Linked DNA regions of Danio rerio. The protein of the gene in region 1 interacts with the protein of each later gene in a pairwise test. Links are inferred from orthologs where the notes say so. Each region holds a gene or a part of one and is shown on either strand. Other genes may lie near its edges. The genes, in order: kctd9a, syt6b and nup35.

What was found.
Region 2: the proteins of kctd9a (region 1) and syt6b interact in binary tests that used the Homo sapiens proteins (3 or more experiments, as listed by UniProt). The two-hybrid records come from large-scale screens. The link is inferred for Danio rerio from reciprocal best matches to the Homo sapiens genes KCTD9 and SYT6.
Region 3: the proteins of kctd9a (region 1) and nup35 interact in binary tests that used the Homo sapiens proteins (3 or more experiments, as listed by UniProt). The two-hybrid records come from large-scale screens. The link is inferred for Danio rerio from reciprocal best matches to the Homo sapiens genes KCTD9 and NUP35.

Annotation. Positions count from the first base shown.
Region 1 is NC_133183.1:61,417,570-61,421,227, reverse strand, and holds part of kctd9a (BTB/POZ domain-containing protein KCTD9a), read left to right. Parts: intron 1-942; coding exon 943-1,010; intron 1,011-2,807; coding exon 2,808-2,903; intron 2,904-3,469; coding exon 3,470-3,619; intron 3,620-3,658. UniProt on the Homo sapiens protein: Substrate-specific adapter of a BCR (BTB-CUL3-RBX1) E3 ubiquitin-protein ligase complex, which mediates the ubiquitination of target proteins, leading to their degradation by the proteasome.
Region 2 is NC_133186.1:26,743,030-26,746,687, forward strand, and holds part of syt6b (synaptotagmin-6), read left to right. Parts: intron 1-2,428; coding exon 2,429-2,807; intron 2,808-3,658.
Region 3 is NC_133184.1:12,405,297-12,409,416, reverse strand, and holds the start of nup35 (nucleoporin NUP35), read left to right. Parts: upstream 1-1,165; 5' UTR 1,166-1,209; coding exon 1,210-1,225; intron 1,226-2,614; coding exon 2,615-2,773; intron 2,774-2,897; coding exon 2,898-3,025; intron 3,026-4,120. UniProt on the Homo sapiens protein: Functions as a component of the nuclear pore complex (NPC).

The DNA.
Region 1 (3,658 bases):
CAAACACCCCCCCACACCACCCGCTCTACACTTTCATGAGTGACACCTCTCCATCCTTGGGTAGCATGTCGAATCCGTTAGCCCAATCTGTTCCAGGACTTCGCAATTCATAAATTAAGCACTGCATATATATATATATATATATATATATATATATATATATATATATATATATATATATATATATATATATATATATATATATATATCTACTAATAGACAGAAAATTACACTTTACAAACTGTTAAATCACCTAAACATCTGCATATTATTCAATAATAGTACTGAAATTAATAGAAAAAACTGAACAAATATATATATTTACACACATGTATATATTTATTACACATTAAGTAAATAAACGGATCCCACCTGGGCCTAATATAAGCAGTTAGCCTGGTATGTAGATTATTGCAATATTTTTAACCTGAGTCAATCACTAATTCAAAGCCATGTTTATAAAAAGTAAGGCCAAATGTGATAACGACTCCACTGTTCAATAACTAATTATTTTTTAATTGCATACAACACTGTACACTACTAGCTATTTTTTCTTTATTAAGTTTTACTGAACATGGATCCATTTAACATACAAGCTTTGGTAACACTTTAGTTTAAGCAGCATATTCTCACTATTAACTAGTAGTTTATTACCTGCGCTTTATTGAGATATTAGCTGTTTAAAACTACTTTATAAAATGCATATTCTGCATGATCTTAGTCTACATCCCTAATCCTACCTACTGCAAACCTAACTACCTCCTCAATATCTAATAATATGCGGCAAATTGGGAGTTATTGAGGCAAAAGTCATAGTTAATAATGATGTAATAATTTAGAGAATTGTACCTTTATAAAGTATCACCCAATTTTTTAAGAGAGGCATAAGATGAGATGAAAACGACAATCTTCAAATGTGATCATTTTATTAATGCTTTATAGGTGTACTGGAAGAAGCTAGATTTTTTGGAATAGAGCAACTGGCAGAACAGCTGGAAGTCGCCATCAAGGTATTTAAGCACACTGCACTTTACACCCCATGCGCATCATGCGTGGCTTTCCCAGTACTAGGAAACGCCTATACACTCTCACGTTCACACACACACACACTCAACATACAATATGGCCAATTTTGTTTACCCAATTCACTTACATTACATGTCTTTAGGGGACATCGGAGCACCCGTAGAAAACCAATGCGAACACGGGGAGAACATGCATACTCCACACAGAAATACCATCTGACCTAGCCAGGACACGAACCAGGAAGCTTCTTGCTTTGAGGCAACAGTGCTAACTAGGGGTGTAATAATACACTTAGCTCACGATACGATGTGTATCACGATATAATGTTCACGATTCGATATGTATCACGATATTTGGAATAAAAATTTAAAATTAAACTGAAATGCAAATTTTACCAAGTAAACTATTTTTTATGTATTACTTTTGTTTCAACTTGTTAAACTGAACCTTCTTTAAGAAAATAAATTAAACAGGCCTGTCTCTGGAAAATAAAACAATTTAAAAACTTCTTAAAAATATTATTGAAATGACAGAGACAAAATTAAGGAACAATTTAAGTAAAGGTGCAAAAAAAAATAAACTTTCTATTCAATTGAATTTAACAGTAAGAGCTTAAGGCTTTGCTTGGTCACTTGTGTTTTTTGTGTGTGCAAAAAAAATCCACATTTCCAGGTATTTAATTCATATTTAATTAAATTAATTTAGAGATATCTCTAATTACAATTTTGACTAATCAAAACTCATTTAGAGATATCTGCAAATATTTTTCAATGGAAGTCAATGGAGGAATATGACTAGTCATAATATATTTGCAGATATCTCCAATCTGATTTCGTACTAGTACAATTGTAATTGCAGATATCTCTAATTGTCATTCTGACTAGTCGAATTATAATTATGACTAGTCAAAATATAATTAGAGATATCTCTAAATATATTTATGGATAGTCAGAACAAAGGTTTAAATGCTAAAACGGCTTGCCATACGTGCGCGTCTATCAAAGTCCGCCCTCTGTAGTAACAGCTCACAGTCAGCAGCTCACAGTCAGCTCACGTCATGTGTGATTTTGCGGCGGGAACATTATATGAAGACAGAATGATATTTTAGGGTGAATTGTACCTTATAAATACAGTATGTGACTCTTTCAACACCATTAGGAGGTATCCCTGTCGCTGTGCAAAGTATGTAATTCACTGTGAAGACTTTAAAACTTAGGATGTTTGACCCAGTATGCGTGTCAAAAAGCGGACGAGTCTAAAGCAATGACTGGTCAACCGAAATGTTGCCAGACGTCTGATTTTGAGAGGATGGGCCATCCTCTATTTCAGCTCCACTCATCTTGGTCTGCTAACATTACTGCTGCTGCAATCTGAACTCACGTGCGACAGCAGGTGGAACGTAGCTCACTTGCAAACAGCTCAACTAATAAGAGAAAACAGACGTCATATCGTAATCAAATCTTCATAACGCCACGATGCATATTGTGATATTTTTGCATCGCAATAAATCGTACAACGATAAATCGTTATATCCCTAGTGCTAACCACTGAGCCATTGTGTCACTAAACTTTTTGTTTATATATTTGAAAACATTTTATTTTAAACTTGATTAACTGATTCAAATTAATGCAACATAAAACATTTGTTGTCATGGCTTTGTATGGTAAATCCTTTTGAAAATAAAAACTTTTTTTTTTTGCTAAATCCGAAAAATTATCAATATTGTATGCATATAATTGTGCATTAATTGTGTATTTTTGACTCTTCTGATTTGCTAAAGAATTCCCATCCACCTGAAGACCACTCTCCGCTCTCACGGAAGGAGTTTGTTCGGTTTCTGTTGGCTACTCCAACCAAATCAGAGCTACGCTGTCAGGTAGAAGACATCATATGAATGTATAAAAAGTCATATTTAATGTCATGTTCTTTTGGTGTTAAAGGGGTCCTATTAAGCCCTTTTTACAAGGTGTAAAATAAGTGTCATAAGAGTCTGCATGTGACATTTCAGATCAAAATACCCCACAAATAATGTTTTAAAACTCTTTGAACATGACCCTTTTCGGCTTTTATTCTAACCATGCCTATTTGGTGACTGTCACTTTAAATTTAAATGAGACTGTGCTCTTTTTAAAAGAGGGCGGAGCTACAAATGCCTGTGTGTCAACATAGTGGCAGATTCAAAAACAAGACTAATCTCCTATGCTAATGAGGGAGAGATGGTCCCTAATGGGCGGGGCTTTCTCTTACTGATGACACGTTCAAAGAGAGAAGTGTTTCTGCAGACTGTTTTTATCAAGCGTGATCATAAAAAACAGAATTAATTCATTTTTACCATTAGAAGCTGGTTGTATTCACACACTGCTGCCACACAACTGTGTTTAAACGTCTTATGAAAACGATTTATGCATAATAGGTCCCCTTTTTCTGCTCTTTCCCTCTCAGGGTCTTAATTTCAGTGGAGCGGATCTCTCTCGGCTGGATTTGCGCTATATTAATTTTAAGATGGCTAATCTGAGTCGCTGCAATCTCACCTATGCAAACCTGTGCTGCTCAAACCTAGAGAGAGCCGACCTGTCGGGAGCCAACCTGGATGTGAGCCCTTTATCTCTTGCTCTGGGACAAATCTCCTTC
Region 2 (3,658 bases), on another chromosome or scaffold:
TTGTTTTCTTGGTTGGCAGCCAAGTGCTCCAGCCCTGAGAGCCCACTCCAACGCATTTGTAATAATCTTAAAGAAATAGATCAACATTTTTATTCATTCACTCGGATATATAATTGTTTCCGTCGAGCTGGAGTTTGACCAATGACCTGCTCTTCTTGTATGAAGAAGTCTGTAATTACATTTATCTCATTTGCAATTCCATCTGGAAGCTGTGTGCACTTAATACTGCCTACTCAGTGGTGTTGATAAGTTTAGGCGGTCTGACGATTTGCTCATTACCCTGTGATATTCGCACTTGAAATGGCTTTAAGAAACCTATTTCAAAGGCAAAAGAACCAATTGCTGTCTCTAGTAAAAGGGAAAGAGCCATACCAGACCGGGCATCACACTGAATGATCATTTCCACAACTATGTTGTAGGTTGTGTTCTCAGCATGTGATGATTAATATTTATGCGAGTGCTCTGTGGTGCTTGACCAAGATGTCTGCAGCATTCATGGCATGATTTGTTTTAATTAACTTCACCACAGGCAAACGGAAGAGACAGGAAACTTGAAAAATGCTACTTTAGTAAACTGATGAACACTGGCCTCGGGTTTTGCTGAGGCTAAACCACTGAGGTCTCTTTCATATATAAGCAGCTTTTTCTCCTCACGTTTATAAAGAGCTGCTTGCTGTTGCTGATTTTATATAGCAGGACTCAACAATAGGGATGGCCTGCTGGTCCAGGATTAGGGTGAAAGAGCTCTGAGTGAGTTGACACGCAGTTACTTATCCTATCAGACTTGTGCTGTGAAACTGAAATTGATATGCATTTATACTTTTAGCCCTTGATAACTTAAACATCTGGTTTTGTGTGATTTATTCTTCATTGTAGCAAATTCTGCTGACTTGACACTAAGAAAGAGTTATGTAACACAATGGTTCTCAATCAAAAAGCCTGATTAAGGGCATCAGAAAATATCAAAGGGGCACAGGTTAATAGTATTAGTGTAGTTTCACAAAAAACTAATTTCCAGAGAAGCACATGATATGATTAATCACAGCTGGTCATTATTTTAGTGAATTTGCAAAAATTACATAGGCTGTGTCCGAAATCGCCTACTACTCAGTAGGTATTGCATTTGAATTTGAATTTACTACTCGACCATTAGAAAAGTTTGTTCTATACAGTATGAATATCTGTAGTATGAATGGAACTCAGATGTACTACATCTGCCATTTTGTCATGATTATGTGATCTACCTGCATCAGTTCACTCCCATCCATAAATTCTTACGCAAAGCATAATGGTATAGCATAGTATCCGTTGGATGCACACTTCAGAATCTCACAGGAAGTAGAAGGTCATCCAGGTTCTTCTCGCATACTGTTTTTCGAATTTTTCAAATTCAGACATACTACTTGGCTTGCATTTTTAGTGTTCTATATAGTATGAAAGTATGCGATTTCAGACGCAGTAACAGACCAGAAGTCATTCTTTCCAATGGAGAGCAGTCCAGAAGCTGCACGGAGGTCCGATCATCTCCGTATGCAGAAAATTCATATCCGATTTGAGCTGCAGAATTGTTAAAATATTTGAACTCCTGCGACTAGAGGCCGATCGGATGTGATTTATTCCAGTGTTTTTCAAGCAGGTCAATGTGCACAAGATGAGAAATGGTAGTTTTCAGAGTTCACACTTAGCTGATGATTGATAATAAAGCTTGTTTGGCTTGCTGACCCGGGAGAGAGCCCTGAGCTTATGAGATCCGCAAACCCTGGGCTCCCTCCCCTGTGCAAGGCGAGAGCGGAGCTTAAGTAGATCTCCATAAACTCCCCTTGGCTTATTTCTAGCTAAATGACGGATATGGATGACTGAGGAGAGGTGTACTCGCTAAGAGCTTGGCTATGGTATCAATTTTGTGTTCAATATACTTTTGCATTACGTGTTTTTTGGACTTTGGGAGGAAACCTGGAGAACCCGGGAAAAACCTGTGCGAGCATGGGAAAAACGAGCAAAACTCCACACAGGAATGTCATCTGGTTTAGTAGGGACTTTAAACAAAGACATTCTTGCTGTGAGGCAACAGTGCTAATCACTAGGTTAAGAATCAGCTTCCCACCCATAGTGTACGACAAAACTGACATTTCTGTGCAGCTGCCACAAGGGGGCGTATTCCGACAGCTGTGTCCAAATGTCATGCAGTGGAAATGTAGCTATACTACAAGCAACTACAATTTTTTTTTTTAGCTTTCTAGAACATGTCTTTATCAGTTTGTATATTATATCTTTAGGTCACAGTACTTAGATTAACACACTCTACAGTTATTTGAACCCACTTTATAGCTGAAACACTGATTGAAACCTGTCTAAAGTCCTTTAGTTTGTTGTGTGTGCTTTTCCTTTTCCAATGTCCACCTCTGTTCATGTTGTATCTTCTGTCCAGACATTTCCTTCAGTCTCCTGCTGCTTGTATTTGTGGTGTGCGGTTTGGCCCTGCTGGGTGTCATCAGCGTCGCCACCTGGAAGCTGTGCTGGGTGTCCTGGCGCAGCAAAGTGCTTTCCTCTAGCGCCACCGCCCTTGCTCCCACCCAGCCAGAGAGAGAACAACCCAGAGAAGAAGGTCACGGTGACTACTACCCGGCCCTCAGAGACATTATGGCAGCAGACAAGCTGAAGGATCCTGGGAACTTTCTGGAGGCGGCAGTGAAGATTAGTCATACGTCGCCAGATATCCCCGCAGACGTGCAGCTGTCCATGAAGGATCATCTTCTGAGACGGACGCGTATCTCACGGCAAACAACCGAGCCGGCCTCCTCCAACAGGTCAGTGTTCTGGAAGAATGAAGAAATGCTTGTCTCAAGACCTTCTTATAGGTCATTGCAGTTTACTGTATTTACAAAGCCATTATGAGGTTAGCTCCAGTCATTCCTAATCATGTTAATACTTTGGAAATCTCGTAAATGTCAGACACAATTAGACCCGAAGTTCGTCTCTGGGACTTATTGACTACAAAGAAGGTCAGACAGTGGAAAAAACACAATAAACTCTCAGAAATAAAGGTATAAAGGTTGTTGCTGGGGGGTATCTTTTCATAAGGTACACATTTGTTCTTTTTAGGTTCTAATTTAGACACTTTACAATCTTAAAAGAAGAACCTAAAATGTTTTTCTTTATAGTGATGCCATAGAGGAACCTTTGATGGTTTCATAAAGGATCTTTTAGAAAAATAATTCTTGAAAATAAAAGTTTTATCATAGCCTAAAGTACATTTAATCTTAAGCATGTTTTTCCACTATAAAGAGACTTTTGTCCTTTTTTTGTTTGTTTGTTTGTTTGATTGATAAAAAGGTGCTAAGGATGTTAAACAATCTTCCTGGAATCATCAATGCCAAAAGATAACCTTTATTAATAAAGGGGAGGTCAATCAGCGTTGTTCGAGTGCTCTGCAACACTTCACTGAAGCTAAGCAGGGATGTGCTCAGTCAGTATCTGCATGGGATCCCACATGGGAAAGCTAGGTTGCTGCTGGATGAGGTATTAATGAGACCAGCAGCTAGTAAAAACAGAATTTGCTGCGTGAATCTTTTCTTTATTTAATAACTGACTTGTGTCTCAGAAGGCAATTTAGACACGCAATGAACATGTGGTGGCGTTTGAAGGCATGAGACGCGGA
Region 3 (4,120 bases), on another chromosome or scaffold:
CTACTCCAGAGGATCCAGGACAACAATGCAACCTTGTGAAACAACAGTGCCACCTGCAGATTAGTTTGTGTAAGAACATTCTACTAACGCATGCAAGTATACAAATTTGAGATCTACCTTCCTTGTACAGCTATTTAATATTAGATATACCATAACAATGGATGACATCAAGTACAATATAAACAAGAAAAATGATATAAGAATATCTAAAATATGCTAAAATAAGATAATAAATAACAGGGTACAGAGGCAAAACTCATTAATTCATTTTCTTGTCGGCTTAGTCCCTTTATTAATCCGGGGTCGCCACGACGGAATGAACCGCCAACTTATCCAGCAAGTTTTTACGCAGCGGATGCCCTTCCAGCCGCAAGCCATTGGAAACATCCACACACACTCATACACTGCGGACAATTTAGCCTACCCAATTCACCTGTACCACATGTCTTTGGACTGTGGGGAAAACCGGAGTACCCGGAGGAAACCCACACGAAGGCAGGGAGAACATGCAAACTCTACACAGAAACACCAACTGAGCCGAGGTTCGAACCAGCGACCTTCTTGCTGGGAGGCGACAACACTACCTACTGTGCCACTGAGAGGCAAAACTATCAATATTAATAATATTTACAAAGTCTTTTGAAGTTTTCACAGTTCTTACACTGTTTTTGCTGTAAACATTTTGTTGTAGTTGTAGTTAAACAATTAAAGTCACAAAGAAAATTCTGCAAATTAGGTAATGATGAAGAAAATGCAAATTTGTGAGTATAATATTTACCCAGTAAATAAATAATAAAATTGCCTATAAATTCTGTTATGTTTGTTATGAGAAAAGTAACTAAATCACATATGGAAAAAATTAATGTTGAATTTACATTTTGATGTAAAAAGACGGATAAATCAGACAAAACCCTTTAACATGTGGCCATTTGATAAAAAAATAAAATTATCGATTTGATGCTTGAGTTACAGAAGACACAATTTGATTTAGGATTACCAAATGTAGACGCAATCTTGTTACTGGGGATAAATAAAAATTCGTTTGACATCCTTCCCTGTAGAGGCGCGACAGAGGCGCCCGGAAGTGCCTCTCGCTGGTGTCATTAGAGCACGCGCAACTTCCGTCTGGTTCAAAAAATTCTGCACTCTCCGGTATTCGGTAAAGCAGATCTAATCTTCTGTTCGTTTACTGCCTGTTAGTCATCCAGTATGGAGATACAGAGTTGTAAGTATTCGTGCTTTTCACAATTTTTGAGTTTGTAGGTTTTGAAGTGTTTGTATGTCGATGAATTTGTGGAAACGGGCGTCCCCGTGGCTTAGCTAATGTCAGCACACTGCAGAAAGACGCGTGTTTTATTCCCCTTAATAACTTTATTAAACTATTTCTGTATGTGGGTGTTTTTATTTGCTGTGACGTGACAGCCAAATCAAGTGCCTGCCAAATAGGGTCTGTTTTTATGTGCTTCGTTGTCCATATCAAATTGGTGTTATCGTTAAAGGGAGAGTTCACGCAAAGAGAAAAATTGTCATTTATTTAGTTTTCTTGTTCAACTTTCTTTGTTCATGGTGTCCGCGGGGTTTTTAAAAAAATATAAAAAATGATAAATATATTTAGATAAATTTAAGACTCTTTTAAAGCATTAACAAGTCTTTTGCTATTTTACAAGGAATTCACTTTTGTATCAGTATGCTAAAGCTTGCCCGAGTCTAATCTTGGAATATTGGGATGCTGTGTAGTTTATGAAATCAAACAAATCCTGCTAAATTTGACATCACGCTGCTTTGTTTACTGCAGTAAACCTGATAAACACTTATTCCTGCTGCTGTAAAGGCTAGATTAATATTTTTATCTAGTTTATAAATACAGTTAAGGATTAGTTTCTTGCAATCAGTATTTATAGTCAGTAAATATATTGCAAATTAAAATGTTAGCAATGTTACTCGTTGAAACATGAAGTGGTAATGAGGTATGCAAAGAGTCTTAAAAAGGTCTTAAAAGGTTTTGAATTTCAATCTCTGTATATACCATGTTGTGTTGAATGCAAAGCCAGATATTTTGAGGGACTACTTTTTTCTTCTTTATGGATGTGTATTGTGTTTGGCTACCGCCTTCCAAAATTCTTCAAATTAGTTTTTGTAAAACAGAAAAAAAGTAAATCACTAAATGAGATAAAAGTCAGTTTGGTTTTATATTTGCACACAGACTTTGATAATTTATATATATATTTTTAATATAACTTAATTTCAGAAGTATACTTTGCAAATTCTTAATAGGGTAATCATATAAGCAGCTTATGACTATCAAAGTGCAAAATTAAATAATGCTAATGACCAAATATTTAAAGTAGCATGTCAAAGTGTCACTGTTCAAAAATGAGCGAATGTGTGAATATAAACAGGGTTCATACAGTCATGGAAAAGTCATGGAATTTGTACATTTTATGTTTAAATATTTTCCAGGCCTGAAAAGGTTTTGGAAGAACAAAAAAATCCACAAAACTAGACTGTCTAAAACTAGAAACTAGAAAACTAGAAACTAGAACTCCAGGAATGTTATAGGCTTTAATTTTAAAAAGCATTAAACACTGTAAACCTTTCAAATGTCTCATAACAGGTATTGAACCAATGACGCTCGGCTCTCCAACCTCTCCTAAGCCTGGGGCTCAGTTTTTACCGGGGTTTCTAATGGGAGACCTGCCTGCTCCTGTCACTCCCCAGCCCAGGTCTTTTGGTTTGACAGGTGGAGCAGAAATCAGGTCTCCTCTTCTTGCTGGTAAATGCATATAACAATGCTTGTTATTGGTTACAGTGCTTTGTTGATACCTTAATTATGGTTATTTTTATACTTATAAGCAAAGTTGCTTTCTTACAGATTTAATGTTCTTTTTTTCCATCAGGTGGGTCTCCTCCACAGCCTGTAGTCCCAACACCTAAAGATAAGAGCGGAGCCCCTCCAGTCAGAAGCATCTATGATGACCTCAATGGCTCTGCTGTGGGAATGTCACCACTTGCTGCTCGCAAACAAGTGAGAAGTGCTAACAAATATGAAAACTTTAGTTATTACTATTATTTTGGTTTGTGTAATTATGCAGTCGTGGATGAAGAACAAAAATAAATACTTAAGTGCGGTAAACATAAAGTATTATTGCAAGCATAGTGTTATGTACCATGTATTTAGTTTTTGTTTTTGACTTATGAATTAAAAAAAAAAAATGATAGTTTACCCAAAAATTAATTACACCATCCATTAATCATTTCCACAGGTTCCATACCTGTTTGAGTTTCTTCTGTTGAACACAAAGGAGGATATACTGAAGAAGGTTGGCAAAAAAGCCATTGAATTCCATAATATTTTTTGTTCTGACTATGGCTGTCAGTGGCTGCTTTTTCCAGCATTCTTCAGAATATCTTGCTTTGAGTTCAACTGAAGAAAAAAATGCAACAAAAATTTAAAACCACTTGAGTGTGAGAATTTTTCTGTTTGTGCAGGCTGTCCCTTTAATGAATGCTTATTTTGCAAGAAAACATGTTATTTTATTGCTGATAATTACACTATTACTGATAATTCTAGTGTACAACACTATGCTAACATTCTAGGTCAATTTTTTGAATGACTTTTCCTACAACGTAAGGAGTCACATAACCACATACTGTTAAGGCAGATTTATTCTTATTATATTATGATGTATATTTGTTATGTTATTATGATATTATGCTTCTGCCAGGTGCACGGGTATGGTCTGGCGCAGGCTTCGCATACATATGCTCCTCTACACATCTCAACTGTTACAGCTACACGTTACTTTACAAAACTTGTCACAAAACCTATCGCTATATGTAACTTGCCAACTATGAGGGCAAAAACATAAAATAAATAAAATAATAATAACACAATAATAATGTATTAATAATATATATATATATATATATATATATATATATATATATATATATATATATATATATATATATATATATATATATATATATATCATTAATCGGAATCGAGTTAAAATGTTAAATTAATCAAGATTTAGATTTTAGGCCACTGTAGCACATGTTTTTTTCTTAAACTTGCTGTATTCGACAAAAATATTAAATTGTGGACATGTCTATATTC